Linked DNA regions of Canis lupus familiaris. The protein of the gene in region 2 purifies or fractionates together with the protein of the main gene of each other region. This does not show direct contact. Links are inferred from orthologs where the notes say so. Each region holds a gene or a part of one and is shown on either strand. Other genes may lie near its edges. The genes, in order: E2F4, RB1, SP1, NPM1, KDM5A, KDM5B and ARID4A.

What was found.
Region 1: the proteins of RB1 (region 2) and E2F4 purify together in Homo sapiens (affinity purification with western blotting; 10 studies listed by BioGRID and IntAct, with this or other methods). This does not show direct contact. The link is inferred for Canis lupus familiaris from reciprocal best matches to the Homo sapiens genes RB1 and E2F4.
Region 3: the proteins of RB1 (region 2) and SP1 purify together in Homo sapiens (affinity purification with western blotting; 3 studies listed by BioGRID). This does not show direct contact. The link is inferred for Canis lupus familiaris from reciprocal best matches to the Homo sapiens genes RB1 and SP1.
Region 4: the proteins of RB1 (region 2) and NPM1 purify together in Homo sapiens (affinity purification with western blotting; 3 studies listed by BioGRID and IntAct, with this or other methods). This does not show direct contact. The link is inferred for Canis lupus familiaris from reciprocal best matches to the Homo sapiens genes RB1 and NPM1.
Region 5: the proteins of RB1 (region 2) and KDM5A purify together in Homo sapiens (affinity purification with western blotting; 4 studies listed by BioGRID and IntAct, with this or other methods). This does not show direct contact. The link is inferred for Canis lupus familiaris from reciprocal best matches to the Homo sapiens genes RB1 and KDM5A.
Region 6: the proteins of RB1 (region 2) and KDM5B purify together in Homo sapiens (affinity purification with western blotting; 3 studies listed by BioGRID). This does not show direct contact. The link is inferred for Canis lupus familiaris from reciprocal best matches to the Homo sapiens genes RB1 and KDM5B.
Region 7: the proteins of RB1 (region 2) and ARID4A purify together in Homo sapiens (affinity purification with western blotting; 3 studies listed by BioGRID). This does not show direct contact. The link is inferred for Canis lupus familiaris from reciprocal best matches to the Homo sapiens genes RB1 and ARID4A.

The regions. Positions count from the first base shown.
Region 1 is NC_049226.1:82,760,616-82,764,989, forward strand, and holds the start of E2F4 (transcription factor E2F4), read right to left. Parts: upstream 3,004-4,374; 5' UTR 2,853-3,003; coding exon of another isoform or gene 2,759-2,852; intron 2,535-2,758; coding exon of another isoform or gene 2,388-2,534; exon of another isoform or gene 2,262-2,387; intron 1,591-2,261; 5' UTR 1,402-1,590; intron 1,293-1,401; exon of another isoform or gene 1,247-1,292; 5' UTR 977-1,246; coding exon 656-976; intron 231-655; coding exon 121-230; intron 1-120. Other genes in the region: EXOC3L1 (exocyst complex component 3-like protein), read left to right, coding at 2,388-2,534, 2,759-2,852, 3,065-3,240, 3,321-3,540, 4,088-4,374. UniProt on the Homo sapiens protein: Transcription activator that binds DNA cooperatively with DP proteins through the E2 recognition site, 5'-TTTC[CG]CGC-3' found in the promoter region of a number of genes whose products are involved in cell cycle regulation or in DNA replication.
Region 2 is NC_049243.1:3,037,904-3,041,837, reverse strand, and holds part of RB1 (retinoblastoma-associated protein), read left to right. Parts: intron 1-130; coding exon 131-235; intron 236-929; coding exon 930-1,043; intron 1,044-1,142; coding exon 1,143-1,306; intron 1,307-3,934. UniProt on the Homo sapiens protein: Tumor suppressor that is a key regulator of the G1/S transition of the cell cycle. The hypophosphorylated form binds transcription regulators of the E2F family, preventing transcription of E2F-responsive genes.
Region 3 is NC_049248.1:44,804,189-44,808,550, reverse strand, and holds the start of SP1 (transcription factor Sp1), read right to left. Parts: upstream 2,889-4,362; 5' UTR 2,784-2,888; coding exon 2,777-2,783; intron 2,298-2,776; exon of another isoform or gene 1,890-2,297; intron 1,705-1,889; coding exon 1,550-1,704; intron 1,226-1,549; coding exon 1-1,225. UniProt on the Homo sapiens protein: Transcription factor that can activate or repress transcription in response to physiological and pathological stimuli.
Region 4 is NC_049225.1:41,656,610-41,660,543, forward strand, and holds part of NPM1 (nucleophosmin), read right to left. Parts: intron 3,771-3,934; coding exon 3,651-3,770; intron 3,326-3,650; coding exon 3,232-3,325; intron 2,922-3,231; coding exon 2,815-2,921; intron 2,707-2,814; coding exon 2,639-2,706; intron 1-2,638. UniProt on the Homo sapiens protein: Involved in diverse cellular processes such as ribosome biogenesis, centrosome duplication, protein chaperoning, histone assembly, cell proliferation, and regulation of tumor suppressors p53/TP53 and ARF.
Region 5 is NC_049248.1:3,660,051-3,663,984, reverse strand, and holds part of KDM5A (lysine-specific demethylase 5A), read right to left. Parts: intron 3,063-3,934; coding exon 2,511-3,062; intron 2,165-2,510; coding exon 2,021-2,164; exon of another isoform or gene 1,954-2,020; intron 1-1,953. UniProt on the Homo sapiens protein: Histone demethylase that specifically demethylates 'Lys-4' of histone H3, thereby playing a central role in histone code. Does not demethylate histone H3 'Lys-9', H3 'Lys-27', H3 'Lys-36', H3 'Lys-79' or H4 'Lys-20'.
Region 6 is NC_049228.1:516,466-520,399, reverse strand, and holds part of KDM5B (lysine-specific demethylase 5B), read right to left. Parts: intron 3,626-3,934; coding exon 3,506-3,625; intron 2,493-3,505; coding exon 2,298-2,492; intron 1-2,297. UniProt on the Homo sapiens protein: Histone demethylase that demethylates 'Lys-4' of histone H3, thereby playing a central role in histone code. Does not demethylate histone H3 'Lys-9' or H3 'Lys-27'. Demethylates trimethylated, dimethylated and monomethylated H3 'Lys-4'.
Region 7 is NC_049229.1:34,023,965-34,026,988, reverse strand, and holds the end of ARID4A (AT-rich interactive domain-containing protein 4A), read right to left. Parts: intron 2,554-3,024; coding exon 2,450-2,553; 3' UTR 691-2,449; downstream 1-690.

The DNA.
Region 1 (4,374 bases), on a different chromosome or scaffold from region 2:
GAGAGGAGCTGCCAGGAACTCTGGGTCCCGTGGCCCCTGCTCTCTCCTGTGTCCTCCTCCCCACACCCCTGCCACTTCTGGGTGGGAGACGCCATTGCTCTCCCGGGTGCCCCCACTCACTTCCACTGGATGCTATTCTTGGATTTTTTCTCGATCAGCCCGATACCTTCCAGGACGTTGGTAATGTCGTAAATCCGCCGCTTCTGGCGCACAGCAAGGGTGTCAGCTGCCTGGCAGACAGAACAGAGTGCAGGATACTCAGGCCCACTCTCAGGTGTTCCCCCAGCTACCTTGAGACCTAGTCTGGAAGGGTTCTGGAAAAGGGGTGGCCCGAGTCCCAATCCCCCTCCCAGGCACTGCAGCAGCTCGGGACCGCGGGGCAGAGGAGGCCCGGCACCGTCTGAACTGATGTCCCCACACCAGCCGAGGAGGGCCACGAGGACCACCGCCTGCAGCCCAGAGCCTGGCACAGAGCGGACGCCCAATGGCCCCGGCTGAATGAATGAAACCGCTCCTGGCCTCCCGCCTGTGAGAAAGCACACGGATGGCGCTTTGCCCTCCGAGGGCTCAGCGGGGCCGCCCCAGGGGTTCCCACTACCGGTCCGGGCCTGCCTGGTCCACCATCCTCCCGGGCGCCCCTTAGCCCAGGCCGCACCAGCTTGAGGTCAAGCACGCCGTCCTTGGCCTCCTGCAGAAGCGACACGAACTTGGTGGTGAGAAGTCCCAAGCTCTTCTCGTGCCGGCTTGGGGTGCCCGGGGGCGGCGGCGCCTGCGGCCCGGCCTCCGCCATCGCTCCCGCCCGCCGCCTCCCCTCAGCCAGGCCAGGCCAGGCCGGCGCCGCCGCCACTTCCGCTTCCGTTCCTGGCCACCCGGCCGCCGGCGCCAGCGCCGCTGTTTCCGCTTCCGCTCCGCGCCCTCCCAGGGAACCCGGCGCAATTCCTCTCTGCGGACACGGCAGCAAAACTTCGGGGACCATCAGCAAATGTCCAACCGCCGAAGAGGACGAAGACAATCCGGGGATCCCGGGAGAGGGGACAGGGTCCAGGGGCAGGTGGAGGAAGTCAGGGGGGCAGCCCCGGCAGTAGAGAAGGGAAAGCCGCTAGAACCTTCCAGGCATACCCAGCCTGTCCCCTTTGCGGAAGAGGAGACCACGCTGCTTGATGACCGCAATGTGTTTCCCCCAACCTGCTCCTGGAAGCTGTCCCAGTGTCTTGGTTTAACTGACCCCATTGCTGTCCTTCAGTTCCTGCCAAACAGCCAGCATTGGGTACAGCGGGCCCACTTGTGTCCACTCCCATTCCCCTTCCCTGATCCCAGCCTCATCTTTCTCTCGTCCCCACCCTGCAGTACCCAGAGACCATGGAATTGTAACCATCTTCCCACCAATGCAAACATGCTTACCTATGCGCACATGTCAGTAAAGCACTTAGAGCAGTTCCTGGCAGGTAGAAAGGGTTAGGTGTGGCTAGTACCGTTTTGTTATGTTTGATACCATCAATATTTATTATCATTTACTTTAGGTCAGGATCTCTGGGAAGCCGACTTTGAGACAGGAATCTGTCTGCAGGGAAGTTTATTGAGGATCCACATCTGTAAGGGAGTAAGACACGCAAAATTGAGGAGAAAGGTGAATTAAACTGTGATGCAGTTACAATAGAGGTCTCAGGCCATCCTGTTAGGAGCCCTGAAACCGAGGTGGGGCCCTTCCAAGGTGGTCCATGTCCAGACAAGGTTATCAGGCCTTTGTGCCCTGACTTTGAGTGAGAGACTCAGCTGTGACATCTTAGCAACCTACGTTCCGGACAGCTAGGGGAAGAAGTGGCGTGGTCCCGCAGGGTGGATTTGGGTGGTAACCAGCATCCACTATATTATTACTACCTGGTGGTCCTCTCCATGGCCCCCTGTAACTCTCAAGACAAACACAGCTTTCAGAGCCCTCCTACCCCTCTCTTACCATCACCCACCACACACCTTCCTCACAACAGCCTCTCAGTTCTCTGCAGGGGTGCCTACCCTCCCTCTGAGGAGCCATCAACACAGTTTTCCTACTGCGATGTTGTCTGCACCCATATTTGCACACACTGCTCTCTACCCCAAATTAGGGCCTTCTAGTTCACATGAGTCTGTGTCCTGAGCACAGGACGTAAGAGGTCCTGGATGGGTTGGGCAGGACTCCTACACCCCCTCCCCCCAAGGAAGTGGCGCCCAGCCCTCCCCACCCCATCCCACAATGCAGATGCACTTTCCTGTTGGGAATAAAGGGCCAGAGACTCAGCTTCCTTCCTTTCTGGGCATTTGGCCTTGGGGAAGGAGGGGCCTTCGAAGGAGGAGGGTGCTCCTGGGCAGGGGAGGTGGTACAGAGGCTTCCTTGGGGAGGATTCTGCTGCATGCTGGGGTGTAGGCTGGAGCCACCCAGGCCTCGTGAGCCAGTGAAGAGAATACCCTGCTTTGCCCTGAGGACTGGGGGAGAGGGCCATCCTCAAGGCCAAAGAGTGTTTTCAAAGGAGAAGGAACTGGATGCCTGGTCAAGCCTGGTGAGTTCCATACTAAACCATCCTCTGCAGTTCAGAGCTGGAGCTGGGGCCAGCAGGGGCTTGAGTCTGCTCTGCCTCACTTGGCATCTGCAGGGGCAAAACTGAGAAACCCAGTCCTCCCGTTTCCTGAGGGGGCTGGGCAAGAAACCCCCTCCTCCTTCTCAGAGGGGCCTAGACCGAGGCTGCAGCTCACAGGAGCACCCATTCTGCCCACTCTAACCCAGGCTCTTGCCCCGACTCCTACCTCATCTCCAGCTCCTCCAAGGACTGCCATGGACTCAGCAACCAAGGATGAAATGCAGCCCTCAATTCCTCCCGGTAGGAGCCCTTCCGGGTGGACTAGGGGAGGGATGGTGGCCAAAAAGATGGCATTGGTGGGGTTGGGTCCTCCTTGCCAGGTCTGGCCGGTGCTCTATAGGGCAGCAAGAGGAATGGGTCAGACTGCCCTAGGGGGACAGGCTAGGAAGTAGGAAGGGGAACAGGTTTGGGCCACTTCCCATCGGCCTTGCCCAACTGACGAGGCTGCCCAGGCTCTTCCTGCCCAGGGCCTGAGTGGCCAGAGCAGGAGAGGGCGGAGCAGCTGGCCCGAGGAGCAGCACTCAAATGGGCCTCGGGCATCTTCTACCGGCCGGAACAGCTGGCTAGACTGAGCCAGTACCGCAGCCGTGAGGTTCAGCGTACCTGCTCCTTGGAAGCGCGCATCAAGGTGGGCATTGGTCAAGGGAAAGGAGAGCTGGGGGTGGGCTGCCGGCCTGGCCAGGCCTCACAGGCTGCCTCCCTCCTTAGTCGGTGGTGCAGTCCTACCTGGAGGGCGTGAAGATTGGTGTGTGGCAGCTGGCCCAGGCTTCTGAGGCCTTGCAGGCAGCCCGTGAGGCCCTTGGCCAGGCCCATGGGTTGCTTCAGGATCTGGCAGAGACCACACAGACCCTAAAACCGCTGCGGGAACAGGTTGCACAGCACAAGCAACTGCAGGTCCTGTCTCAGCTGCTGCCCCGGCTGTGGGCAGGTGAGTGTGCAGGGGCCCTGGGCCTCAGCCCCTCAACAGTCAGTCAGTACATGCCCATTACTGACCAAAGGGCGTCACCCTTAGATGGGAGGGACACCCCAGGGACCTCCCAGAGAGTGACTCAGGTTTCTGATGGCAGAGGAATCTGGATACAAATCAGCTCATGCTGGGATTGTCAAGCATGCGTTGTAGGACTCAGGGCTGAGACCCAGTCAAGTGGCTCTGACCGCCCTGGTTGCAAAGTTATTGAAATGATTCCTTAATAGGATGGGTAAATAGCCACTAGCAAGGGTCCACGAGTTCTTCCCTGCCTTGCCTCCAGGATCCCTGACTTCCTCTTGCTCCATCAACTCAAGAATTTATATCTGGCCCAGTAGGCCTCTGGGCCCTTCTCTGGGTCCTTTCAGATTGGTCAGTGCTCTGCTGTCCTGGTTATTATGCATTTTACACATCACTCCAGCCCTAGGGGCCTCAGTATCCATGGCTGTGCCCATTGCACAGGTGGGAAGTTTGAAACTTAGGGCTGTTTCATCTTCTCCCTTCCTAGTGCCAGCAGCAGTGGCCCACACACGGACCCTGATTGATGCCCAGCAGCTCTTGGAGGCATATGCGTGCCTTCGGGAGCTGGAGCAGCTACAAGAGGAGACGTGGGCACCTCTGGGGGGCCTGGAGCTGCCAGTCTTTGAGGCGCTGGGCCCTCTGGCTGAGGCTCTTGGCCAGGCTGTGGAGGTGGCTGCGGGGGCCGCAGGGCAGCTGGCACGGGAGGACCCAGCCCTGCTGGTGGCTGCTGTGCGCATAGCGGAAGTCGATGCCGGGTACACACCCTCCCTGGAG
Region 2 (3,934 bases):
GGATAGGAAAAGATAATCCTGTAGGAGCTTAAATGTCCATTTTTTGAAACTAAAAGAAAGAGAACAGTACTTTTTAGAGCACAACTAGGTAACAAAATTCTGATATTTTTGTATTGTATTGATTTACTAGATTATGATGTGTTCCATGTATGGCATATGCAAAGTGAAGAATATAGACCTTAAATTCAAAATCATTGTAACAGCATATAAGGATCTTCCTCATGCTGTTCAGGAGGTAGGTAACCTTTCATGGTAAGATTTTTTGGTTATATCCATATCTATAATATGGATAACATAAGTCATTAATTAGATCATACATTCTGACCTTGTTATATAAATTCACATATCAATTTTTTACCTTTATGTTACTGGTTAATTATTTGTAACTAAAATAGAATTGGAAAGTTAAGGCACTTTAGTATCCACATTCATATTACAAAGTTAATAAGGAATACTATATCCCTGCCACAGATAGGATATTTGTAATAAACTTTTACATGTAATAATATTACATTAAAAAAAATCTGTGACATTTCTCTTCTGGTAAAACAGCTGTATTCCAAACCTGAGAAGGCTTTTTCAGATTATTTTTTCCTATACAGTATGTGATTCCTACTGCTAAAAAATATTATGAATTATTAAAAAAGAAAATCTTTTTTTTTTTTTTTTTTTTTTTATTTTTTTTAATTTTTATTTATTTATGATAGGCACACAGTGAGAGAGAGAGAGGCAGAGACACAGGCAGAGGGAGAAGCAGGCTCCATGCACCGGAAGCCTGACGTGGGATTTGATCCTGGGTCTCCAGGATCGCGCCCTGGGCCAAAGGCAGGCGCTAAACCGCTGCGCCACCCAGGGATCCCTAAAAAAGAAAATCTAAAGAGATAAATTTCCCAATTCACTTAACAGGTATTTTTATTCTTCTTCCTCAGACATTCAAACGTGTTTTGATCAGAGAAGAGGAGTATGATTCCATTATAGTATTCTATAATTCGGTCTTCATGCAGAGACTGAAAACAAATATTTTACAGTATGCTTCTACCAGGGTACGTTGGAAGTATCCTTTGATTGGGAAAAATCTAATTATAAAGTAATGGATCTTACTAAAATATTTTTTTAAAATCTACTTTTTATTTTTGCCTCAGCCCCCTACCTTGTCACCAATACCTCACATTCCTCGAAGCCCTTACAAGTTTTCTAGTTCACCTTTGCGGATTCCTGGAGGGAACATCTACATATCACCCCTGAAGAATCCATATAAAATTTCAGAAGGTGTGCCAACGCCAACAAAAATGACTCCAAGATCAAGGTTTGTGTTTTCTCTTTAGGGAAGATCAAGGGGGGATTATTTTGATCCAAAAACAAAAATATAAAGCTTTCTTCACTTAAAATATTTGCTTATTTAACATTAAATGACATGAAAGGAATTTGGCAAGGAAAGAAAGACAATCTTTTTACTTAAATGGGCTTGCAAATTTAGTCCTCAACTTTCCTGGTTGCTTGGGTCTGTTGTTCTGTGAACAAAGAACAACTTTTGTAATAGTTGTAAAATCACTTTCATATTTTTCTAAGTAGCCAGTCTGCTAAGCAAAGTAGATTAGTTTTGGTTAAGAATTTTTATTCTGTAGTTTTACTGAATGTCCTGTAAACTCTCTGAACCTGTTCATCTTGCTTTGCTATAAAAATGTAGATGACTGATTAAATGTAGATGACTGTAAATTAAGTCTTTAAGAGTCCGTCCTTAATTTTGCCTGCTGCTTCCTTAGATTACCTGGGGCAGGTGTCCTGTCTACTTCGGAAGGGTGCTGTGGATTAGGGAGATGATGAGTATGAAGCTGTTTTAAATTCTTAGATGAAAGGTTTTGTGCAACTACAAATCATTATATTATCTTCCACATCCAACCACAAGCAATTTGTGGCTTTGAAGTGCTTCCATTGACTTATTATATGGTATCATACACTGTTTGAAACTGACTTTATTTGTACAGTGATAGGCAGATTAGCTAGCACAGTTAATGTAGTCTCATTTCCCCAAATTGTCAGCTCATAGAGTTGTACTTAATGGGCAAGAAAAACAAGGAGAAGGAGATATATTAGCCTTTTAGAAAACATTTGTGTGGCGTGTTTAATTATATAGGTAATGCACACTCATGATAAAAATTTGAAATCACAGGAAGAGACAAAGTAGAAAATAATTGGCAAGTGATATAAATCCTCTTGTGCATCCCCATTCCATCCTTTATTTGGTGTTCTTATAGTATCTGTGCATGGTATCTACAACTTACATTGTAAGTTGGTTAAGATGCTATACAATGCATATTTACACAGTCCGCATGAAAATGTGTACTTAGGTAATGATAATTGATCCATACTATGCTTATGATGATGGCTATTTGCTGAACTTAGTGAAATCACTTCTGGGTTGAGATTCTTTAGCGAAAAAGCCACATTCTCAAAATCTTGATAAATCATTGGTCAGGCATTAAGAGAGCATCTTAACACTCTATGTATCCAGCATATTTAGGTATTCTGCTTAATTAAATATGTATATAGAATGATGGCCACGTACCAAGGAATTGGAGTACAATAAAACATCTAGTTCCATGTGCATATGATCCTATCTTTGTTATGTCAGGCTACTGCTTTTTCAGCATTATTATTAAAAACAAATTATAAGGTTCACTCATGGCAACCACAAACTCAAAACTTATGATATATACACAAAAAATAAAGAGAAAGCCGAACATAGCTCTATAGAAACTCATCAATCACACACACAAAAAAAAGGCAAGAGAAAAGAGGAAAGGAACAGAGAAGAACTACAAAAACAACCTGAAAACAAGGAATAAATGGGATTAAGTACCTATCAATAATAATTTTAAATGTAAGTGGCCTAAATGCTCCAGTCAAAAGATAGAGGGTGGTGAAATGGATAAAAATACAAAACCTTTCTATATGCTGCCTACAGGAGACTCACCTTAGATGTAAAGACACAGACTGAAAGTAAAGGATGAAAAAACACCATGCAAGTGGAAGAAAAGAAAAAAAAAGCCGGGGTAGCAACACTTATATCAGACAAAATAGACTTGAAAGGACTGTAACTAGAGACAAAGAAGGGCATTACATAATGATAAAAGGCGCAATCCAACAAGAGGACTTAACACTTGTGAATATCTAGAGCACCTGAATACATAAGGCATATATTAATGGACATAAAGAGACTGGTAGTAATACAATAATAGTCAGGGACCCTAACACCCTACTTATATCAATGATAGATCATTCGGGCGGGAAATCAATAAGGAAACAGTGTCTTTGAATGACACTTTGGAACAGATGGACATAACAGATATATATATATATAGCACATTCAATCCAAAAACAGCAGTATACACATTATTCTCAAGTGCACATGGGACATCTCCAGAAAGGATCATGAGACCACAAAACAAGTTTCAGTAAATTTAAGATTGAAATCATACCATGCATTTTTTTTTTTTTATCACAGCAGTACGAAACTAGAAATAAATCACAAGAAAAAAACTGTAGAAAAGGGGCAGCCTGGGTGGCTCAGTGGTTTAGCACCACCTTCAGCCCTGGGCATGATCCTGGAGACCCGGGATTGAGTCCCAGGTCAGGCTTCCTGCACAGAGCCTGCTTCTCCCTCTGCCTTCTGTCTGTCTGTCTCTCATGAATAAATAAATAAAATCTTAAAAAAAAAAAACCCTGTAAAAAAATATGGAGATTAAATAACCTGATACTAAACAACCAACGGGCCAGCAGAGCAATCAGAAACAAAAAATTCATGGAGAGAAATGAAAGTGAAAACAAAATGGTCCAAAACCTTTGGGATGCAGTGAAAGCATTTCTAAGAGTGAAATATATACCAATACAGGCCCATCTCAAGAAACAAGAAAAAGCTCAAATAAACAACATA
Region 3 (4,362 bases), on a different chromosome or scaffold from region 2:
CCTGTCCATTGGGCCCCACTGTTGGTGTCCGGATGATGATGGGGCCGGAGTTTGGAACAGCCTGAAGCTGGAGATTCTGGAGGGTTTCCTGGGAGATAGCTTGGGTTGTAAAGGTCTGCCCTGACAATGGTGCTGCTTGGAGGGCCTGGAGAGCCTGTCCCCCTTGAACTAGCTGAGGCTGGATAAGAATTTGTTGCTGTTGCTGTGTCTGCTGGTTTTGCTCTCCCTCTTTTTGCTGACTTGCTTGCAGAGAGCCTCCAGATGTCTGGTTCTGCTGAATGTTTAGAGCATCAGACCCCTGTAGCCCACTGACCCTCTGGGGTGTCTGCCCTTGAGAGTTGGTCCCTGCTGATCCGCTGGTGGTGAAGTTCATAATTCCCATGTTGCTGGTGGTAGTAGTTGTTGAGTAGCTATTGGCATTGGTGAAAAAGGAGCTGGAACTGGCTTGTGATGATACCAAACTGGCAGAACTGATGGCAGTCCCTGAGGTGGAGGGCTGTGAGCCACTCTCCTGGGACCCAGAGCTGCTGATAGTGACTGCCTGAGAGCTAGGAGTCAAGGTAGCTGCAGAAACGCTGTTGACAGGTAGCAAGGTGATATTCCCGTTCAGGGCCACTGGTACATTGGTCACATACTGAGTCTGTCCTGAGAGTACGTTATTAGTCAGGCCTTGGAGGGGGACAGCCTGCTGGAGTAGGTTTGGCATAGCAGCAATGATGTTGCCTCCACTTCCTCGATTTGTGATGATCTGTTGGTTTGCACCTGGTATGATCTGTATTTGACCAGAACCATCCTGCTGCACTTGGGCCCCAGTGGCAGCGAACTGCAGCTGTTGCCCATCAACGGTCTGGAACTGTGGGATTACTTGATACTGAATATTAGGCATCACTCCAGGTAATCCTGTCAGGACTTGCTGGTTCTGTAAATTGGAGGTGGCGGCCACAACATACTGCCCACCAGAGACCGCACGATTCTTGGAAGACTCACTGCCATTGCTGCCATTGGTACTGCTGCCACTCTGTTCCTTTGAGGTAGGGGTAGCCCCAGAGGAGGAAGAGATGATCTGCCAGCCATTGGCACCCTGTGAGAGCTGTGTGGCTGTGAGGTCAAGCTCACCTGTACCCCCTGACTGGCTTGGGCCTTGGGAGTTGTTGCTGTTTTCATTGGGTGACTCAATTCTGCTGCAAGTTGCTGCCAGCAGAGCCAGAGGGGATGGCTGGGATTCCTGGCCGGAAAATAAGGGAGAGGATAGGAGTCAGAGACACCCAGCTGCCAGCCCTGGGGGCAGTTTTAAAACAAATAAACAGCAAAACTGCAGCCAAAGAGAGGGAAAAAAAAAAAAAAAAACCTGAAACAAAAAGCTGACCTATCCATACTGCTGAAATCCTCATCTCTGGAGATCTCCCAATCATTTGTCTCTCTGTGCTAACTTCCCTAGCTACAAAATGGTTTAGCGCTTTCCTAAAAACGTTTCTGTGAAAAGACAATAATCTAAGAATATTTACATTCTCTAGACATCTCCCCTACTCTGCCCTGGTTTATCACTTACCTGCCCTCCTCCTCCTCCACTGCTGCTACTGCCTGTGCTGCTGCTTCGAGCCTGAGAAAAGGCACCATCACCATTACCGTTGCCCCCATTATTGCCACCAACTCCTTTTTCAATCTTCACCACGGCTGTCATTTCATCCATGGAGTGATCTTGGTCTAAAAAGAATTAAAAGATAAACAACTTAGAGTTGGAGGAAGGAAAAGGGTAAGGTTAGGAGGGATAAAGGACGCTATGATGAAACAAATAATTAACAGTAAGGTGAAAGGCACCAGCGTTAAAAAAAAAAAAAAAAAAAAGTGGATTGAGGAAAGGGCAATTGTAGGACACATAGAACACAGACTTGGCTTAGCAGTGCTGAAACTGGGCCTCAATTCTTCCCTGGCACAAAATTACACCCAGGAAACATTAAAAATGTACTTTTCGTATAGGAAATGTGAGGGGCGATGGACATGTTCAAAGAGTTTCAAAATAAAAAAAAGTATCCTGGGGATAAAAAGGAGAGGGATAGGTAAGGCAAAGAACAACATGTGGGTGGATGGAAAGCTTGCTAAAATTAGGGTCAAAGAATATAGAGAAAGAGAAAAACTCAAGGGTAAAAAGCAGCACGAGGAGAAGAGGGGCAAAGGGGAAAGAAAAAACAAAAAAGTGTGAGTGGGGAAACATTTGTGGATACGGCTAAGGGGCTACGGGGTCCAGGGGTTACGAATCTGGAGGTTTCGGGGCGGACAGAGGGCGGGCCCTGGAAGGAAAGGGCGGTTTCGGGGTGAGGGGCGTGGAAAGGGCGGGACGGTGGGGGGGAGGGGAAACCTACGGGGGGAGGGGAGGGCCTTGGGGCAGGCGGCGACCAGAGGGCGGACCGGGGAGGCGGTTGGCCCGGGCGGGGCCTGCACTGCTCGGGCCGCCCCCGCGGCTCCAGCCCCCGGCGGGAGGAGCCTCAGGCGGGCGGCCGAATAGTGGGGGGTAAGGCCCGTCCCCCGTGGCCGGGGCGGGCAGGGGGCGGGCGAGGCCACGCTGCCCCCTCCCCCGGGGCGGGCGGCCCATCCCCCGCTTTCTCGCAGGCCCCGCCACTGCCCCTTCTCCCTCCCTTCCCTCCGCCCCGGGCGGGACCAAGGCCGCCGCCGCCGCCTCCCGCCCGCCCCCCCTCACGGCGGGGACCGCCCGGTCGGCCCTCGCGCGCGCCCCCTCATTCCCCTCCCACCCCTAAGCGTGGAGTGGACTCATCCTTACCGCTCATGGTGGCAGCTGAGGGACGAGCTCAAGGGGGTCCTGTCCGGGGGGGTTGGGGGGGGCCGGGAAAAACGCGGACGCTGACGAGGCAAGCGAACCCGGACCGGACAGGGAGGGGGGGGGTAAGGAGGAGGGAGCAGCGCGCCACAAGCCCGGCCTAGGCCCCGCCCCTTCGCTGCTGCCCCGCCCAATGAGGGAGGGAGAAAGGCGGGACTTGCGGAAGAAAGACGCGTGGGTCATCCAATGGCAAGGCTCACTGGCTCTCTAAGGCGTGTAGGACAAAGTTGCGAGCCTGGTGTCCGCCCAGGGAGGCCGCCCTCTCAGTTTTAAGGCCCAATGAAAGGCGCAGGAAGTGGGGGTGGGCGGGAGCTAGTGATGACAGGCTTGGGAGGGAGCCAGTCAACCGCCAGGCGGGCTCCCTGAACGGTGGGGATAGGGAGAGCTTAGGTTGGAATGACAGAACATCGGCCAACCAGAAGCCCGGACATGCCTGGGCAAAGTCCCCGGTGGGAGGGGGTAAGAAGCAGGCCGAAATGGGATAGGATGAAGCCGACCACAGCCAATCAGAAATCAGGCGGGCAGCCAGGAAAGTTAGGATTGGGCCAACGCTGAGACAAGACAAGCGGGGACGCAAATTGACGTGAACGAGAAGCCAATTGAACGCCGAATGCACTCCGGGGGCGGGACTTTGGGGTGGGCCGAGGAGAAGCGGCGTCTCCCTCAGTCGGTCCGCCCAATGAGGCGGCGAAGGGGGCCAGGCCCCGCCCCCAGGGGGGCCAATGGGCGCCGCCAGAGCCGCCCGTCGCGGGGGAGGGAGCAGGGCTGTGCCAAGAGGAGGCCGCCGCCATCTTGGCCCTCCTCAGGGGACGTCTTTGCAGTGGTTAGGTGGCGCGCTTCGGTGGGGCCGTGCTGCGCAACAAGTGTCAGGGTCGAGACGGGCGGAGCGCGGCTCTGCCTCCCGCCGGCCGCTCTCTCGGGGGCCCCCCCAGCGTCCCCCTCCCCGCGGTGGGCGGACGGGCGGGCGGGCGCCTCGGAGTGTGGGTGTCGGCCCTGTGGGTGCGCGCGCGCCCGGCCAACCCCGCGCCGACCGTCCGCAAGGGCTTTTGTGCGACTCCGGCGGACGCCATCTTCCCGACTTCTCCCGCAGACGGCGGCCGGCGGCTTCCTTCCGCGGCGCTGACTTTCTCGAGAGCTGGGCCTGGAGGACCTCCCAGAGTCCGCGTCCTGTCAGCCACTTCCTGCCTCTCCTTCCCCACACACCCCGTCCGACGGCAGGAGGAGAGCGCGGGCCTTTGTAACCAAAGTCACAGGACACTTTCCCCTCAGACACCTGCGTTTCTGGCACCTCCCGTTCTACCTCGCTTCCCCCCCCTCCCCTGGTGTTGGTGGAGGCGGCCTGGGTGAGTCGTCAATGACACGGAGGTCATTCCCTGCGGCCCCTCCTGGTATCTTCGTGTTGTCACTAAATTATTTTCAGTGCGGCACTTGGTGACCTGGGGTCACGCTTTAAAGTCCGGATCCCGGGGATCCCCGGGGGGCTCAGCGGTTTGGCGTCCGCCTTCGGCTCAGGGCGTGACCCCGAGGTC
Region 4 (3,934 bases), on a different chromosome or scaffold from region 2:
GATTTGCCAACATAGAACACTCAGGGCTCATCCCATCAAGTGCCCATCACCTATCCCCCCACCCATCTTCTCTTCTACAACCCTGTTTCCCAGAGTTAGAAATCTCATGATTTGTGTCCCTAATTTTTCCTCACAAGGAGTCACTATTACTGATCCAATGCACTCATAAGCCTGTGTAAAAATTGGATGAAACTCCAAGTTTAGTCAATCAAGATGTTAAGAATTTCAAACTTTTGAGGATTGACAAAAAGAATTGGAAGCAAGGGTCTCAAAGAGCTATTTGCATGTTCATCTTCACAAGTGGAAGCAACCTAAATATCTACTAACAAATGCTAAGAAAATTATCATTTATATATTTAAGGAAATATTCAGGATTTTTGGATAGTTATTAGAATATTGCAATTTTTAAAAAAGATTTTAGAATGAGAGACTTCCAAGGAGATTTCCTCCGCTGAGCAAGGTGCCTGATACAGGGCTCTATCTCAGGACTCTGAGGATCATAACCTAAGGTGAAATCAAGAGTCAGACACAATAGACTGAGTCACTTGGGTATCCCTAGAATATTCAGTTTTAAAGGAAATCCTGTCACATGGATGAACCTTGAGAACATACTAACAAACATGATAGTCATGGAAAAGACAGACATAGTGTATGATCCCACTTAACGAGGCATCAAAAGTAATCTTTTCCTCTATAGAACCCAAAAGGAGATTGGTGGTAGCCAAGGGTTGGAGAATGGTGGAAAGGAGTTTTCATTCAGTAAGTAAATTTTCAGTATTAATAGATGAAAAGACTTTAGGATCTATTAAACAACAATATAATTAACACTCAACTGTACACTTCAAAAATGGTTAAGATAATATTGTATTTTTCTTACAACTAAAGTGGATAAAAAACTTAAAAATGGAAGTTGTAGTTTAAAGAAACTAAATAGAAACACATGTTCACAGATCAGGAGAAATATTCTAAGGTGGCAACTCTCCAAATTAATCTACGATTCATCACAACCCCTAACAGTCCTAGGTTCTCTGTAGACATCGATCCTACAATTTGTATTAAAATTCAAAGAACCCAAAAGCAGCCAAAAACAATCTCGAAAAAGTAACATAATTGGAGGATGCACTTAGTGTTTTAAAAAAAAAAAACCCACAAAAATGACAAAGCAACAGAAATCAAGACTGTTTTACCAGCATCTAAGGATACTTAATAAAACCAAAGAGTCCAGAAACAAACCCATAATTCATCGTAATTATTCTCAACGACACAGTACTGTCATCCAATGGCGAAAGACATCTAATAAACGGTGCTGGGACAACTAGAAATCCACACACAGAATTTAGGTTTGTCCCCAACTTCATACCATATACAAAAATGGATTCAAGATGGATCAAAGATTTAAATATAAGACATATAATAAAGGTTTCAGAAGATTTGGCAATGGCTTATTTTAACACCAAAAGCACACAAGCATCAAAATAAACTGGACTCCATAAATCATTAAAAACATAAAAAATTAAGCTAATAGGACACTGGATGATTAAAAACTTTTGTGCAAAGGATTACACACTCACGCGAAAACACAGCCCACAGAACGGGAGAAAGTACTTGTGAATTCTTTCTGAAAAGGAACTTGTAAGAGCTTTTTTGTTTTCCGACAACTCAGTATATCAAGACAAGTAAAGGGGTAGTTGGGTGCCTCAGTAAGTTAAGCATCTGCTTTCTGCTCAGGTCAAGATCCCAGGACACTGGGATGGAGCCTCCAGTCAGGTTTTCTACTCAGCGGGGAGCCTGCTTCTCCCCCCTCTGCCTCTCTCTCTCTCATGAATAAATAAATAGCACTTTATTGTGTAGTATGCATTTAATTTTACCTTAGCCTGATCAAGTTTAATAAACCTATCACCAAATAGTTTCCAAAAAAAATCTCAAATCCTTCATGAAAATCTTCTTTCAGAATCTCATTTTATCAGTAAGGACCAAAGAACTATTAGCCAAAATCCTTTGTGGGATAAAAAAAATCATTAAGTGACAACTTACAAAATGAAATGTCGCTGGAGCCATCCGGATTCTTTCTACCCAGATCACTTATATACTGTTTAGTAAAAAATCTTACCAGCAGACTTGTCATCACGTGTTTATTAAATCTTCCTCAGGAAAAAAACTCATCTAGTCAAATACATTTGGGAAACACCGCATATTCTTTTTTTTTTTTTTTTTTTTTATGATAGGCACACAGTGAGAGAGAGAGAGGCAGAGACACAGGCAGAAGGAGAAGCAGGCTCCATGCACCGGGAGCCCGATGTGGGATTCGATCCCGGGTCTCCAGGATCGCGCCCTGGGCCAAAGGCAGGCGCTAAACTGCTGCACCACCCAGGGATCCCGACACCACATATTCTTTTGAAAATTTGCAACACACTGCATTTTAAAAATTTTTTAAAAGATTTTATGAGCTACGCAGCTGTCCCACACTGCAGCATTTTAAAGGCTCTTAAATGCCAGCATTTTTAAATTCAGCTAATTTAATTCAAAGTAACAGCCAATGACCATTTACCCTTTTTAAGTATTGCTTAATTTCAAAGATGATTATAATTTTCATAAACTACTCTCCATACAACTGTCAAGCTTCTAAGATCACACTTACTCTTCATCATCGTCGTCGTCATCGTCGTCGTCGTCATCATCTTCATCAGCAGCAAGTTTTACTTTTTTCTTAAAAAAAAAAAAAAAGTTCATATAAAAATACGTACATATATGTACCCATGAACAAGTGCTGATCTTAATCACCAAAACTAAAGGCCAGGATAAGATAACCTATACCTGTGGAACCTTGCTACCACTTCCAGGGGCAGAACGCTTTCCAGATATACTAAGAAGTTTCACATCCTCCTCTTCTTCATCTTCTGACTCTGCATCTTCCTCTACAGCTAGAACAAGTTTATTTATTAGCCACTACTAGAATTCAACCAAGAAGCAAGAACTCAGGAAAAAAAGGGCATAGCATACAGTAATGAGCATTTAAAAATGAAGATTCTACTAGAAAAATAGCAATTAGGGAACAGAAATTTTTTAAAAACGAATTTTCGGGACTCCTTGGTTTTCAAAAAAACAAAACAAAACCTTTTCTAGTGATAATCTCCATTTAAACAATTATAAAGACAATAGGTCTAGCACACATTACAAAATTCAAATTGGGAACAAAGAAGAGAATAAATAGCATAATACCTAATAACATACCTACTAAGTGCTGTCCACTAATATGCACAGGACCGGAACCACACTTCAACCGTAAGACCACAGGTGGTGTTATTTCAAAGCCCCCAAGGGACACCTAAAAATGATAAACTTTTAAGGTTAAATGTTTGGTATAAAAACCTGTTTGTAAGAGACCTAGAAAAATGTTTGTGTTAGACAGGCATTACAGGCAAATGCATAAACCAAATGAACCAACCAGCAAACCTGTTTTATCACCTCTGACAAATAGCGAACCAATATGTTCAAGAGTTATCATTCAACCCCACAGTGATGCAGCTGCTACTAAAAAAACACAAAGGAAATTCCCCCCTTTTAAGTCCTTGGTGTAACCTAAACAACACCTACCTTAATACAATAGAATTAGACCTTGACATAAAATCCAAAAGTCTCAGTGCCCTTACCGTTGGCTGTACAGACATTTTCAAAGTTGCCAGAGTGACTTTAATTGGACTGCCTTCATAATTCATTGCCTCTGCTTCAACAATGTGCAATTCATCCTTTGCACCAGCTCCCAAACTGACCTGTGAACAAAAATACTTTAAGTTCCTATTTTACAATCCCCCCAAAATTTGCCTTCTAAGAAAAAACTAAGCAATTATAAACCTATTATTACCACTAACAGAAAACTTATCGGTGCACAATGTCATCTTCAAGTTTTAGGTTGCCTTGCCAACCAATTTTTCAT
Region 5 (3,934 bases), on a different chromosome or scaffold from region 2:
TAAGTAATGATTTTCCTGAATTGCTGCTCAGTGATTCAGCGGTGATTATAAGATATTACATGCAAATGAAGTAATCCAACAATGCAGAGCACAAATTAAATGCTATGATAATTAAGATCAAATGACTGATTTTATTTTTCTATGTAATTACCTACTCTTCTCCCTAAGCCAGTAAGGGGTCTTTCCCTCAGGCCAAGATACTAAATTCAAAGATGAATTTAATTTTTTAAATTTTTTTTTTTTTAAGATTTTATTTATTTATTCATGAGAGACACAGAGAGAGAGAGGCAGACAGGCAGAGAGAGAAGCAGGCTCCATGCAGGGAGCCCGACGCGGGACTTGATCCCAGGTCTCCAGGATCATGCCCTGGGCTGCAGGCAGCACTAAACCGCTATGCCACCGGGGCTGCCCTCAAAGATGAATTTTAAAGATGAATTCATGGTCACAATCAGGGGACATTATACAAAGGAAAAAATCGCCAAATTGTAACTAAACTAGCAAAAATTTTAATTATGGAGTAAGTGATTGCTCTATGGAAAAATATGCAGGAATTTAATTTTTTTTAACCTACAATCAAGGTGAATGTGACCTTGAATCACTCTAAGTCTTGCCACCTACCACTCTTCCAAGCTGTCAAATACATTGCTAAAAGTATGAATTCCTAATTCATACTATAAAGTGCCCCCCTACCAAAGGAAAGCCCATTATTAGCTAATACTGTTATATAAATTTTATTAAAAAAATACTACTCTCTACAACCACATCAAACCACAGTTTTGATCCCTAGCCCTGAAGTCCCATAATACTTGTGATGTTTTGTTTTCATTGGTTTCCAAAACACTCCCAAACCAAGTCCATCCCGTTTAACAATTCTAGGGTACTGGTTGATAATTAGTATGCTAGAAAGAGAACCCAGTTATCAAAGATCTCTAAGCTATAGTAAACCAGTAATTCTAGTATTAGTTAACTTATATGTAGCATGGGCTGCATTCCCATTCAGCTGCTCCTTTAGAACTTTACCTTAACTGGCTAATTCAAGTTTCAACTTTGCTCAAGTCTTTAATTCATAAAACTAAAAATTCCCTCATTAAAACTTTCCCAAGATCCATTTTTATCTTGAGAAAAAATATTTTCCAGTAGATAATTTATAAGCATCTATGATAGATGGTTTAAACTATCCTGCAAGTTTTAATGCTGATGTCGTTCATGCTCTAAGAATGAGCTTACCTATCTGATTTGCACACTAAAACGACAAAGAAAGGATAGTTAACCACCAGTAGGAGAAAGAAATGCACTCTCGTTTTTCCACACATCAGAGTATGAACTCCCTGGTTACAGACACAAATTCTAAACAGTTCAAAGACTAATATAAAACAGATGAATGGATTAACTGTAACCTGGCAGAGTTCCTGCCTAGATCGTGATGTTATACTAGCTAAAAAGACAAAGGGCTTGGGCCTGACACAAAATAATAAAAGGCGAATAGGATCCAATACAAAACAAACTTGCCAAAACCAGGGTACTGTTATTATCAAAGGAATCACATTGAGGACAAATAATTTTTTCTAGCTGCAAATGTAACTGCAAATTTGAACCATGGGCCCAAATATAACTCATCTCTAAATAGGACATTATATCCAACATCATCCAGAGAGATCAGAGCAAAAGACTCAAAGCACAGCTAGAATGGGATTCTTAAAATACAACTATACAGACCTGAAGAGCCCAAAGGAAACAAAATACTGAAATAAGCCATGAAAGCTTTCAATAATCTAAACGCATAATTTTTTTAGGCCCTCTAGGACATAAGGAGTTACAAGGTGAAGAAAATATGGATTTTTAAAAAAATTCCATCCTTTAAAAAAAAGTTTCATCTATATTTTGGGGGGCTTTGGAAAAATGCTATTACGATAAACCCAAGATAAACGGACTAGTATTCTCTTCTACTTTCAGGCTTCCAATACCAGTGTTCACTATTTTTAACAAGCCCAGTGATCAGGTATGCCTGTCCATTAATTACCTTCATGTCATAGCCATATGTCTCCCGGATATCTTCATCAGAATCTGTTTCTTCATCATCATAGTCCATTGTTTGTCGAGGAGAAGAAGATACACTGCTCACCACCCGGTTAAAAGCAGACTGCTGGAAACTAGGTAAGTGTCCCTAAATAACAAACAATTCCAACATGGGTAATTAATATGCATTTAAGACCACCAAAATGTAATGAACTTTCAAAGTGGCCAACAGAATTCCATGGTTAACACAAATCAAATTTGTGGTTTTAATGCCAAGGTCCCTCCCTCAATAATATTTCCAGTTAATAGTTCACTAAAATGATGTAGGTATATACCTGAAGGAAATCCTACAGGTGTATATAAAAAGATGTTATGGATAACATAGCTGCTAGCAACTTACTGCTGTTTTCCTCATCAGCTGTTAAGATATATTTAATTTACTATTTATACACATAATCCCATGAAATAAAAAAAGAAAGAAACCCTAAACTTACCTGTAAGTCAGGATTAGCAGCTGCTTTCTGGAGTTCTGCACTGATTATCTTTTCAGTTTTCTCTCGAGCTGCCTGCTCCACCATACGCTGGCTCAATACAGATAGTTTGGCTAAGGCAGAGGACAGTTCATCTGTGGCTAGGGCCTGCCGTGCTCTATCCTGCCAACTCATAGCACGTTCTGTCAAACACTGTAGGGCCTCTCCTTCAGGCAAACGTACTGGCAACTTCTGAAGGGATACCAAGAGCGACAGAATAGTCTCTAACCTTGGCCTTCGAGACCGCATACACAGAGGGCAAAGGAATTTCACTTCTTTAGCCTGCCAGCTAGACCCTTTTTTTTGGGAACCTGATTTAGGAAGGGGAACACAGCTGTTATGGAACCAGTCTTTGCAGAGCTCACACTGTAGCATAAACCCACTGGCTGTCTTGCGGCAAATGCAAAATTTTACTTCTTCTATGCGGTCCACCATTGTCATCTTGGCTAGGTTGGCTGCTCTCAGGGAATGCATGGCTTCAATCTCTTTTTGTTCCCGTTCTTTGAAAACCGCCACCTGTGTAAAACAAATGATTAAAAGGAGTCACTGCAAAATATTTCAAAATGTCAAATCCTCAGACCTGAGGGATCATCTCCCCATTGTGCCCTCATTGTGACAAAGTATTATCCTAAAAAAAAAGGCAACCACCCAACATTTGTCAATAATTTCCTATAATTTGGGAGCAAACATTCCTCATCTGTGAAATGGGCAAAGTGCTACCATGTTTGACAATGTAGATCAGTAGAGTATGTTGGAACTCTTCTGTAGATTGAACAGAAAGATAATATGCCTTGGGAGTCAAGCAACCTGAGTATGAAGCCTGGCTTTTGTACTTATAGACAGCTGATCTGGGGCACAAGTTTTCTGAATATCAGTTTTCTGAAAAACAGTATACTAACCAACCTCATTTTGTTGTTTTGAGAATTAAGATAATACATGTAAATGTCTAACTTGGTGCCACGTGCAAAGTAAATATCCACTATATATTACTTCCCTCTCCCCTTGTAATTCCTTCCCTGAGGGTGACTTCTATACAAATCAATTTTTATTTCTTTCTAAATGGCCTCTCCAACTCATGTATAAGTAGAATGATGAAGTCTGATGATCAGTTATAACAAGGTTTAGGTTACTCATTTCAAAAAAAGAAATAAAAGTAAACAAAATTTCATTATCATGAACATGAACACTGTCCGTGCCATTTTCTTTTTTAAACTGTGGTAGTGGGACGCCTGGGTGGATCAGCAGTTAAGCATCTGCCTTAGGCTCAGGGCGTGATCCTAAAGTCCCGGGATCAAGTCCCACATCAGGCTCCCTGCATGGAGTCTGCTTCTCCCTCTGCCTATGTCTCTGACTCTCTTTCTGTGTCTCTCATGAATAAATAAATAAAA
Region 6 (3,934 bases), on a different chromosome or scaffold from region 2:
ACTCAACTTGAATTTCTCAATTTCCACATTTGGAAAAAAATTTACTCAAAGTTCCACAAATGAGTTACCATTATTGATATAAGGCCATGTTAAGACACCTAAACCGTACCCTCTGGGCATTGTTTTCCCTAACTATAAAATATAAGGAGAAAGTGAATAAGCTTGCTGTTGGTCCATAAAAGGCTTCAGAGAGCCAACATTCAAGAGTTATATCTAAAAAAGTCACACTAAAAAAAAAAAAAAGAAAAAAATCCAATGTGACTCTTTTTGCAGATACCACTGTCCCAAAACAGCACAAAAAAAGCTAACAGAACTACTGAGTTTAGCAAGGTTGCAGGACATAAAAAGTCAATATACAGAAGTCAATTATATTTATAAATACTAGCAATAACCATTTGAAATAAAAAATTTTAAGGTATCATTTATAATAGTACCAAAAAACAAAATATTTAACTATAAACCCAAGAAAATATGTGTTAAGATCCATATGCTGCAATCCACAAAAAAATGAAAGAACTCAAGAAGACTTAAATAAATGGTAGATATATGATGTCCATGAATTGGAAGAGTCAACATTGTTAAGATACCAATTCTCCCAATTATATTCATGGATTTAATGGAGTCCCTGTGAAATCCTAACAGGGCTTTTGGTAGAAATCAGTAAGCCAATTCTCAAATTTATATGGAAAGCAAAGGAACTAAAATAGCCAAACCAATTTTTAAAGTAAATGAATTGGAGAACACACACTATCTCATTTCAAGCCTTATTACAAAGGTATAGTAATCAAGATCATATAGCAACAGCAAGAGAATAAATGCATAAGTTAAGAGAATAAAACAGAGTTTAGCAATAGACCCATTTATATGCGGTGAATTGATTTTCAACACCAAAGTGCCAAGGCATTTTAAAGGAAAAAGAATGGTCTTCTCAAGAAATGGTGCTAAAACAATGAGACATCTTTTTTTTTTTTTAATATTTTATTTATTTTTTCAGAGACATAGGCAGGGGGAGAAGCAAGTTCCATGCAAGGAGTCTGATGCGGGACTCGATCCCAGGACCCCGGGGTCACGCCCTGAGATGAAGGCAGATGCTCAGCCACTGAGCCACCCAGGGGTCCGTCCCACAATGAGACATCCTTATGCAAAAAAAGAATAATCTCAACCCACACATTGCACCATAAATAAAAATTACTTGAGATGGATTAAAGATTTACATGTAAAACCTAAAACTAAAAAATTCTAGATGAATAAACAAAAGGTCTTTGTGACTTTGGGTTAGGTAAGATTTCTTAGGTACATAAAAAAGATGCAGGGGCACCTGGGTGGCTTAACAGCATCCAACTCTTGGTTTTGGCTCAGGTTGGCTCCTGTCATGATCCTAGGATCAGAAGATTGAGCCACACCTCAGCAGAGAGTCTGCCTGAGATCCTCTCCCTCTCTCTGTCCCTCCCCCAATCTCTTTCCTCTCTAAAATAAAAAAATCTCTAAAAAGATGCATAAAAGATGGGACGCCTGGGGGGCTCAGTGATTGAGCCTGCCTTCAGCCCAGGGCGTGATCCTGGAGTCCCAGGATCCAGTCCCACATAGGGCTCCTTGCATGGAGCCTGCTTCTCCTCCCTCTGCCTGTCTCTGCCTCTCTCTCTCTCATGAATAAAATCTTAAAAAAAAAAAATGCATAAAAGAAACAACTGCTTAATTGAACTATCAATTAGAAAGACACTGCTCTGAGAAAAAAAAAGATAAGCAACTGACTGAAAGAAAATACTTGCAGAACACTCATTTGATAAAGGACTGGCATAGAGAATGAATGGAAATCTCACAACAATCCAATAAAAAAAGGAGGTGGGCAACAAAATATATGAACAGACGCTTCACTGAAGAGATACATACACAAGTAGTAAATAAGTACATACATGATAGGATGTTCAGTAAATCAGTGGCCATTAGAGAAAATGAAAACCAAAATGAGATATTAATACACATCTATCAGAATGGGTCTTTTTCTTTTTCAAATATATTATATATTTATTCAAGAGAGACACAAAGAGAGGCAGAGACACAGGCAGAGGGAGAAGCAGCAGGCTCCTCGCAAGGAGCCCGATGTGGGACTCCATCCCCAGACCCCGGGGTCACGCCTTGAGCCGAAGGCAGACGCTCAACCACTGAGCCACTAGGCATCTCCAAAATGGGTCTTAAAGGAAATTAGCCTAAGAAAAGACTTCTTAAAATGAGATTAATTTAAGAATTTTACTAAGTAATATCCAGAGACACACCAATTGGGATTCCAGAAATCTTACCAATTTACGAACAGTTTCTCTTAAAGCTTTCTCATCCTCAATCATAATGGCCATATCTTTCTGAACAGTTGAAGCCACTACGACATCTAGTACATCAGCCTTGGAAGCCATCTTGCAAATCATCTCATCGTGGGAAAATACACAATAGCGATGAAGCAAGCGATAATGCTCCACACACTGTCGGCCTAATGGCAGCTGTTTCAAAAGACAGAGGATAATACATGACATTTATCTTTCTTTCTCCTTTTTATTTCCAAAGACTTCTGATCATTATCACATTACCAAAGAGCATATTCTGGGTCATAATACATTTATCAACCCTATAGCCAGACTCTAAGAGGCCTTGGCCCTTTTCTAGCCTTTGCATCTCAAAGCTCTGGCATGTCAGGTATCTAATTAAAAAGTAGTTTAAAAAACCCAATGTATGATGGTGCCTGGCTGGCTCAGTCAAAAGAGCATGCAACTCAATCTCAGGGTCATGAGTTCCAGCCCCACTTTGGGTATAGAGATTAATAAAGACATTTTTAAAAAACCCAATGTATTAACAACGTGTCAATGTTCAGTGTACAATCTAACTGGACATGAGAATTTACACATTTCCTGAAATAACAATGCTGACTTAAACCTGCTTCAGGGAATTAACGATGCTCTAAACTATTTAATGGAAAATAATTTCAGGTACAGGTAGTACTATTACTCAGTAAAGCACTGAAACAAGGTTATAATTCATTAAATTTAACATCACACACTTGAACTAGATCTTTTTATGTAAAAGAAAAGTATTAATACCAATATAAAAATTCCACCTTACAACTAAAACCAAATGCATCATTAAAAATTGCTGTATTATACATTAAATTTAAACTAGTGTTACATAGGCTTAAGACTGAATGAACTTTTTGTTACAAGTTTGCAATGAGATACTGAATTTTCCCAAAATGTAAATCAACAGACTCATTTATTCATCAAGTCTCACTTTTACAAAAGAAAAACTTATCAGCTAAACTGAGCAGTGTGCTTAGTCAGTACAGGCTTGATATGTGGTGCCAAGTGCTTTACCCCACTGTGGATGGTAATCAATTTGTAGACCAGCCATTTGAGGAGCAACAGGTTTAAGCAACCACACACATGAAAGCTTCTCAAGTATCATATACTACACTTCAGTAGGAAAACAATATATTCAAAAAGGCTAAGTCATAATTACATACCCAATCGACAGTGCAGAAGTTAACAGCCTCAGCAAAATTAAAACCTTGATTAAAACCACTGTGGTAGGCTCTTGGAAATGTAATCACAAACTCCCCAGCACACTGATTAGTTCTGTAAACCTAGAGAGACAAAAATTGGGGATTTTTAGTGACATTCGTGAAAGACAATCTGGACACAGACTATCAGATGATATTCCAGAAAGAGAAGCTTTCTTCTAATTACAAGTGAGCCAACAAAAAGAATTATGGTAGAATGATCATAGAGATACTCTATTCGGCCACAAGATGGAGTAGTATTCCAAACTATGAGGGTTGATTAGGCTCTAAATAGAAAACATGGATTTTACTATAAAAATTGGCTACATCCAGGATTAGGACACATCTAAATATAACTACAATTACGAGTATTCTAATATTATTATACCAAAA
Region 7 (3,024 bases), on a different chromosome or scaffold from region 2:
GGATTTCCATAATTTAAAGCAACTTCATAGAAGACATAATATGTAAATGCTAAGAACAAACATGTTTCTTAGTGAGGGACCGGAAAATTAGAAACACAACAAACAATAAAAGCACACAGTGGAACAGTGAAACAAATCTCCATAATCTTCAAAGAACCTGATTTTATGGATAGGACCTTCTACTTTAAATATTGAAGAGTGTCTTTATACTTTTACTTTTTTAGTCACATGTAAGTACTATCCAAAATTTTGCTAAATTCAAAATATGCCTAATATTTGAATAGTCAGTATTCACTTTTGTAATTCTGTCTCCAAAAATAAAAGGATTTTAAGTGTCCATATACCCATTGAGTATAATTTTGCCCTCTGTAGAAAGGTCCCAATACTTCACTACAAGATTTATATTGATTAGAAGGGATGGATTCAAGTTGATAATTAGTTACCATCTCATTTACTGAATTGCTAATGAAGCAAATCATTAAAATATCGATCATATGAATCTAAGGTTGCCTCCTAGTTCCAAATGGATTTGAATGACACGCTTTTTTCATTTTTATAATTAAGAACTAGAAATATTTTATTGTAAAGACTGATGAATATGCTTGTTTTGCAAAGTCTAATTTTCCAACTGTAAGTTACTGGCACTTGGGAAAAAAACAATCACTTAAATGAAAACTAAAAATATAAAGCCTATGTTTAAAACATGGCCTTTATTAATACTTAATACTGCCCACTGAGCTCCATTTTTATTTTACATTGAAATACTTCTGCTTTGCAAAGAAAAGACAGAAAAGTGCATTTTACAAGAGTACTTTTTTCTTTTTAATTCTCTGCGAAAATGGAAGGAATCTGAATCACAAGTTCACAATGTGGTAAAATGAAATTAAGAAACAATGATTTCAGTAATGCTATGCCATCACTAGTGTTTGGCTCTGACTTTGCTCTTGTAAATCAGATCCTGATATACAGTCTAGAGCATCTAGGTTATTACTCTACAGCATATTAAACACAGAAAAGGAGGTTTAAAAAAAACCCCTTTCAATGTACAAACATGAATTTAAAAACTGATTTTAAAAAATCACCTTTTTACATAATGTATATGGCAAAAATGCTTTAAATACATGATTTTGGACTTATTTACAAAACGTATCAGTCTGTGGAACAATTCACAGACACAGCATACATAGTTGCTTTACTTAGTTGTTGCATCTCAACTTTGGGAGATAGAAATTTATTCGGCAGTATAGCAAACAAAAAACTATGACAAAGTATCTTAAGGGCAACCAAAAATTTGATCCTCAAAACAGTTTAAATACTAGGACTGCCAAAGTTTCTAAACGAGGACATACTTTAATGATCCAGATGCCCATTTATAGTTCTATACTGTTTGAAGGACTGAGACAGACTCCCTTCAACACAGGCAAAGCTACTGGATGCAACCTCCTGTAAAAGGGACAGCTGAGAGCTATTGTCATCCAAAGAGTGAATTAACCTAGAATTTTCTTTTTTTCAATTTTATTAATATTTTAAAAAATACATAAAAATACAACATCCAATGTCTGAATAAATATATTTAACAAGTTGCAAGATAATACCTTATTTTACACAAAATTTTCAGCTTTAGAAATCTTGTTAAATAACTTCATTGTTGTTATATATTTCATTTTTGTCTTTTTGTAACAAAATAAAAACTCTGAAATTACATAGAAAAAAGACAAAATATTTTTGTCAAGGGATAAGATAGTCCACTGAAAACTTATTCACAATTCCACTGTAAACATTAATAAACATTAAAATATTTGCATAATTGTGTGCTCAAAAATCCTATAAAAAGTGGAAGACTTATTACAACTGTAGTTTTCAGTCAACTACACTTCCTTTCACAATTTATTTTGTCCCATTTACACCTTTAAGCCTGGGCACACTGCTGAACATATACTTTGGCAGTTCTAAATAGCAAGTGCTTCCACAAAAATAAAAAACAACAACAACAATAAAAAAAAAAACCCACAACATAAACCCCCTACTCACCAAGTGTTCAAATACATCTTAGTGAAAGTGCAGCAGTCACTATTCAGCTGGATAATATTTTGATGTTTTTCATGTGCACTTGCTTGTCTATGATTTCTATAACAGTTGAAAGCTTTATTATACAAATTCAGATTTGCTAAGTGCCCTTTTTCTATCTTCACAAAAAATGAAAACAAATTAAAGAGGAAAAATTATAGACAAATATGGCAGGCTGCCTAACCTTCAATTATTAATCAGCTTACTTTTTGCAACAGAAAAAAAGAAAAGAGGGGGGAATAGATACAGTCCAGCCTGGAAAGGTATACAGGATATACTTAGCAATGTCAAACCAGTTGAGTGCTTTCTGTGGTTGTATTTCAGGGTTTTAGGATTTATGTCCATGGCAGCAAACTGCTGGGAAGGCAGAGAAAAACGTTTATCACCTGCATTCTACAGCAAGTACATTTTGTGGGGGAGATGATGATGAGGGACTCATCCCAGTGTCTGACGAAGCAGATGACATGGAGGCTCCTGCATGAGACACTGTAGAATCAAAACAACTACATTAGACCCAAAAACTATCAAAGATACCTAGCCACTGGCAAATTAGAAATAAATTTCTTATTATTCATTTCAATTGCAATCCTCTTAAATGGTGCCTAAATTTAGGAATAACATTGTCAGCAAAAATTGTTTGGCTCAATTGACTGGAATCAGTCTCTCATCAGTTAAATAACTCAGTTCAAAAAAGGCATCTTAAAATGTAAAGATATAAAGAGATGATAAACTCTTAAACCCTAACTTGAACGATCCCTGGAAGGAACTCACCTTACCCCAAAACCAAAACAAGGTAAACCTGGCTTAAATTCTCACTATAGCAAATTCCATCCTTGTCTCTGGGTTCTAGGACTATAAGAGAATTCACTCATCCCAGAAAATTTCCTATAACCAGCTATCCACTAGCTTCCTACCCTTTTCCTGCCCCAGTAGACCTAATGGACACAGCATCCCATA